Linked DNA regions of Callithrix jacchus. The protein of the gene in region 2 interacts with the protein of the main gene of each other region in a biochemical or structural test. Links are inferred from orthologs where the notes say so. Each region holds a gene or a part of one and is shown on either strand. Other genes may lie near its edges.

Evidence for each region. The genes of interacting proteins can lie anywhere in the genome.
Region 1: of the proteins of RB1 (region 2) and CDK3, one has a biochemical effect on the other in vitro, tested with the Homo sapiens proteins (2 studies listed by BioGRID). The link is inferred for Callithrix jacchus from reciprocal best matches to the Homo sapiens genes RB1 and CDK3.

The regions. Positions count from the first base shown.
Region 1 is NC_133506.1:131,897,390-131,899,930, forward strand, and holds part of CDK3 (cyclin-dependent kinase 3), read left to right. Parts: intron 1-1,082; coding exon 1,083-1,286; intron 1,287-2,541. UniProt on the Homo sapiens protein: Serine/threonine-protein kinase that plays a critical role in the control of the eukaryotic cell cycle; involved in G0-G1 and G1-S cell cycle transitions. Interacts with CCNC/cyclin-C during interphase. Phosphorylates histone H1, ATF1, RB1 and CABLES1.
Region 2 is NC_133502.1:67,484,538-67,488,195, reverse strand, and holds part of RB1 (retinoblastoma-associated protein), read left to right. Parts: intron 1-393; coding exon 394-498; intron 499-1,593; coding exon 1,594-1,707; intron 1,708-1,808; coding exon 1,809-1,972; intron 1,973-3,658. UniProt on the Homo sapiens protein: Tumor suppressor that is a key regulator of the G1/S transition of the cell cycle. The hypophosphorylated form binds transcription regulators of the E2F family, preventing transcription of E2F-responsive genes.

The sequences.
Region 1 (2,541 bases), on a different chromosome or scaffold from region 2:
CTACTAAAAATACAAAAATTAGCTGGATATGGTACTGCATGCCTGTAATTCCAGCTACCAGGGAGGGAAGCTGAGGCAGGAGAGTTGCTTTGAACCCAGGAGGCGGAGGTTGCAGCGAGCTGAGAGCATGTCATTGCACTCCAGCCTGGGTGACAGAGCTAGACTCCGTCTCAAAAAAAAAATTTGCTTGGTGCAATGTCGTGCACCTGTAATCCCAGCTACTCAGGAGGCTGAGGCAGGAGAATTGCTTGAACTCAAGAGGCAAAGGTTACAATGAGCCGAGATTGTGCCACTGCACTCCAGCCTGGGTGACAGAGCAAGACTTTGTCTAAAAAAAAAAAAGAAAGTCTGGGCTTGTCCTGGGAAGTCTGGGGATGAAATAAAAGCAAGGAAAAAAATAAAAAATAAAAAGGCCAGGCACGGTGGCTCAAGCCTGTAATCCCAGCACTTTGGGAGGCCGAGGCGGGTGGATCACGAGGTCAAGAGATTGAGACCATCCTGGTCAACATGGTGAAACCCCGTCTCTATTAAAAATACAAAAAATTAGCTGGGCGTGGTGGTGCATGCCTGTAATCCCAGCTACTCAGGAGGCTGAAGCAGGAGAATTGCCTGAACCCAGGAGGCAGAGGTTGCGGTGAGCCGAGATCACGCCATTGCACGCCAACCTGGATAACAAGAGCGAAACTCCGTCTCAAAAAATAAATAAATAAATAAAAAGGAAAAAAAAAAATACAAGAATTAGCTGGGTGTGATGGTGCATGCTTGTAGTCCCAGCTACTCAGGAGGCTGAGGCAGGAGGATTGCTTGAGCCTGTGGTGGAGGCTGCAGTGAGTTGTGATTACACCACTGCACTCCAGCCTGGGCAACAGAGCAAGAATCTATCTCTATTTTTTAAAAAAGGTATTTGGTACTGGCTGAAGGACTGAGGAAGCCAGCTTTATTCCAAAAAAGGCCAGAATTCTATGCATAACCATGGGAAGGCTATCTTGACAGGCATCTCCCTGGGTCTGGCCACTTATCTCATAATAGATTCTGTATGACAAAGTGGCGGACCCCATACCTTCTCTTCTTCCCCATTCCAGGTGACTCGAAAAGTCCTGTTTCCTGGTGACTCTGAGATTGACCAGCTCTTTCGTATCTTTCGTATGCTGGGGACACCCAGTGAAGCCGTATGGCCCGGGGTCACCCAGCTGCCTGACTATAAGGGCAACTTCCCTAAGTGGACCAGGAAGGGGCTAGAAGAGATCGTGCCCAATCTGGAGTCAGAGGGCAAGGACCTGCTCATGGTAGGTGCACGTGGGCTCTGGCTGCTGCTCCAATAAGAGTTTCTCCTCATCAGCCGGCCTCTTACATAACCCTGGCACTTTCTCAGCCTGAGGCCAGGATTTCTTTCCTGATCCTGATACACAGTTGGCTCGTCCTTGTCCCTGAGTATACTGATTGTTTGACCTGGGAGCCTCCCCAACGATTAGGTGCAGTGTTTATCTTCCCTGTGGGAGCGGTGATCGCTGAGTTAGCTCTGTCTTTATGCCATGCTATTCGCCCTTTTCCCCGAATTGCCTTAAGTGTTTGCTATTCCTCTTTGCGGACGTTATTGCTCCATCTAAGCTGTATGCTTCCCCAGGCCAGGGCTATACCTTCTTTTCTAATTTTTTTTTTTTTGAGACAGAGTTTCCTTCTTATTACCCAGGCTGGAGTGCAATGGCATGATCTCAGCTCATTGCAACCTCCACCTCCTGGGTTCAAGCAATTCTCCTGCCTCAGCCTCCTGGGTGGCTGGGACTACAGGTGCCTGCCACCATGCCCAGCTAAATTTTTTTTTTTTTTTGAGACAGAGTTTCGCTCTTGTTACCCAGGCTGGAGTGCAATGGTGCAATCTCGGCTCACTGCAACCTCTGCCTCCTGGGTTCATGCAATTCTCCTGCCTCAGCCCCCTGAGTAGCTGGGATTACAGGCACATGCCACCATGCCCAGCTAATTTTTTATATTTTTAGTAGAGACGGGGTTTCACCATGTTGACCAGGATGGTGTCGATCTCTTGACCTCGTGATCCACCCGCCTCGGCCTCCCAAAGTGCTGGGATTACAGGCTTGAGCCACTGCGCCCGGCCTAAATTATTTTTTGAGGTAGAGACAGGGTTTCTACCTCAAAATATTGGCCAAGCTGGTCTTGAACTCCTGACCTCAGGTGATCTGCCCACCTCAGCCTCCCAGAGTGCTGGGATTACAGGGACGAGCCACTGTGCCCAGCTGGGGCCACACCTCCTACTGCCTGGGCGTTCCCCCTGTGACTCCTATGGTGGTCATTCTTCAGAACAGGCTGTTCCTTGCTGTGTGGGCCCATGCCATGGTCCTCACTCACCGCTCCTGTTGGTGCCTCAAGCTGGCCCAGGCTGGACAGCCCAGGAAGCATCTAGCAGAGCCGTCTGTTCTTTTTTTCTTTTTGAGACAGGGGGTCTCACTCAGTTACCAAGGCTGGAGTGCAGTCTTGATCTCCAAGCCACAAGCGATCTTCCTGTCTCAGCCTTCTTAGTAGCCGGGA
Region 2 (3,658 bases):
CACCACTACCACCAAGTATGTTCAATATTATCTGCTAGTTTGAAACATTTTAACACCTGGCTTTTTTAAGTGCTAGTTATGCAAAATTAACTGATTCTAGTTTCAACTTTTCTGGGAAACATTTAAGGGACAGGAGCCAAAGTTAGGGTAATTTACAAACCAGGTGATCAGTCCTAAATAATTGAGCCTTGGTCATTTGCATTTTGTTCTTTAAATACACTTTGGGTTAAACACTTCATGTAGAGTTTCAAATTGAGCTCAGTATGGAAAGAAATAACTATGTAGGAAATTAAACTTTTCTTTTTTGAGGCTAAAAGGAAGAAAACTATTTTTTTTTAGAGCAAAACCACATAATAAAATTCTGACTAGTTTTACATCATATTTATTTACTAGATTATGATGTGTTCCATGTATGGCATATGCAAAGTGAAGAATATAGACCTTAAATTCAAAATCATTGTAACAGCATACAAAGATCTTCCTCATGCTGTTCAGGAGGTAGGTGATTTTCCATAGTAAGTTTGATAAATCCATATCTGTAATAAAGATAATTTTATTCATTCACAGGCTCATATATTCTGATCTTATGTAAATTTACAAATAAAAATTTTTATATTATTTATTTGTAACTTAAATGCTTAAATGGAATTGGAAAGATAAGATAAATTATGAAATTATCCATATTCGTGGTTTTTTTATAAATTTAACAAGTAATGCTTTATCTGTGTAATAAGCAAGTATTTATAATAAACCTGGCATGAGTCATAGTACATTAGATGATCTTTTATTTTTATTACTTTATAGGAAAAGTCAGCATAAATGCAACCTTGCAAAGAAATAATAAATATGTTCAGTATAAACACATTTTGTATTTCTAAACACATTTACCTTCCCTTTAGAGAAACAGGAGTAGTAAAATATACTTGGTATGACACGTTTCATACGGTTCTGTGGAAAGTGAGTTGTGGGATATCTTTCCCATTTATTATTAGAGTTTTCAAAAGTAATACAAACCAAGTCATTTTTGTTTGTATGTTTGAAGTTATTTTAAATTCAATCATTTAAGTGTATAATGTGTCAGAGGCATTTGATATAACCTCTGTGTTTTTACCTAACTAAAATTTGAGTGAAATCTAACACTAAAATATAGTGCTTTTACTAAGTGTCTACTTCCTGCAATTGAGTAATGCTATTTAAACCCTTATAGAATGGGGCGATACAGGGAGGTACAGGCCAGAGGATATAGTCTAAATATTAATGGATAATGTCATTGGCTTTCACTTAGTTCTGGCCCTTTGATTCCCATAATGCTTTCCATTCTACCAGCCTGTCTACTCTCTCTTCTTGGATGGCCAGCTATTCCATCTGCTGCCTGGCTGTTTTTCTCAATAATCCTATGACATTTCGCTTCTAGTAGAGCATCTATAATTCAAACCTAAGAAGGCATTTTAGATTATTTTTTCCTGTATAATATGTGCTTCTTACCAGTCAAAAAGTTTTACAAACTTTTAGAAAAGAAAATCTAAAGGTAGAAATTTTAAAATTAATTTAACAAGTGAATTTTACTTTTTTTTTTTTACTCTTCTTCCTCAGACTTTCAAACGTGTTTTGATCAAAGAAGAGGAGTATGATTCTATTATAGTATTCTATAACTCAGTCTTCATGCAGAGACTGAAAACAAATATTTTGCAGTATGCTTCCACCAGGGTAAGTCAAAAGTATCCTTTGATTGGAAATATCTAATTATAAAGTAATGGGTCCCATTAAAACATTAAATAAATAATACTACTTTTTTGTTTTTGCTCTAGCCCCCTACCTTGTCACCAATACCTCACATTCCTCGAAGCCCTTATAAGTTTCCTAGTTCACCCTTACGGATTCCTGGAGGGAACATCTATATATCACCCCTGAAGAGTCCATATAAAATTTCAGAAGGTCTGCCAACACCAACAAAAATGACTCCAGGAACAAGGTGTGTGTATTTTCTCGTTAGAGAGGTAGTAAAGAATGAAAGGGGGATAATTTTGATCCAAGAATAAAAATACAACGCTTTCTTCATTTCAAATAAGCTAGACTCTTGAGTCTATTTGTTTATTTAAGTAACATAATGAGAATCTAGGGGGAAAGAAAATCTATTTACTTGGATGGGTTTACAAATTTAGTTATCAGATTTCCTGACTGCTAGGGGTATCTTCTTTTGTAAACAGTTTTTGAACCAGTTTGGTTATATGTTTCAAAACACTTTAATATTTTTGTAAGTAGTCAATCTGCTAAACAATGCAGGTTACTTTAGGTTGAGTACTTTTAGTTTGTAGTTTATTGGATGTCCTATAAATTTTGCTTCCTGTGGATTTTGTTCATTCTGCTGGTTATATTAAATGTAGATTACTGTCAATTAAGTCTTTAGAGGTCCATTCCTAATCCTGTTGGCAACCTCTTTACCACCTTACCTTGGGCAGGTCTCTATCTCTACTACACAAGGGTGCTGTGGATCAGCAAAATGATTAGTATGAAGCTGTTTTAAATTCTAAGATGAAAGGTTGTGTGCAACTATAAATCATTATATTATCTTCCCATCCAACCACAAGTGCTCTCTGGCTTTGAAGTGCTTCAGTTGACTAATTATATATTATCAGGGGCTATTTGAAACTGACTTTATTTGTGTAAAGTAGGAGGCAGATTAGCTAGTATAGTTAATGTAGTCTCATTTCAGAAATTGTCAGCCCATATGGTTGTCCCTCATGGACAAGAAAAGGGAGATATATTAGTCTTTTAGAAAATATTTGCATGGTATATTTAATTATTTAAGTAGTACATACTCATGGTAAAAATTGCAAACTCTACAGAAAAATATGAAGTAATAAATAACTGGCAATATGATACAAATGCTCTCATGTGCCTCTATATCATCCTTTATTTATTTGGTGTTCTTATAGTTGGATATCTGTGTACTGACTCCTTCTACTTGTTCCAAGCTGTTAAAATGCCACGTTATCTCTATATAAGAAAATTTACAGGCCGGGTGTGGTGGCTCACACCTGTAATCCAAGCACTTTGGAGGCCAAGGCGGGCGGATCACCTGAGGTTGTGAGTTCAAGACCAGTCTGACAAACATGGTGAAACCCCGTCTTTAAACAAAACAAAACAAAACAAACAAAACAAAAAAATTTATACAGTCCCATGCCACTGTATGAAAATGTATACTTAGGTAGTTTTTTAATAGTGATTATTAATCCATATTATGGTGATAATGATGGCTACTTCCTGATCCTTAGTGAAATCAATTGTGTTGTATTCTTTAGCAAAAAAGTCACATTCTGAACATTCTAACTAATAAATCATTGATCAGGCATTAGGAGAGCATTATATTTAGAATGATGACCACTTATCAAGGAATTGGAGGACAAAAAAAAACTTTATATGCACTAGTTCCATGTTCATGTTTTCAAATCTTTGTTGAGTCATGTCAAGCTAATGATGTTCTTCAGCTTTATTATCAAGAACATAACTTATATGGTTTAAATAAAGACAGACTAATAAAGATTTCTGACTATATATTTGATATATGATAACTAGCCTTTACTATACCAATATAGATGCTAATTAGAATTCTGATTATTAATATTCTAAGTTTTTGCCAAATATAACTTGAATTTTA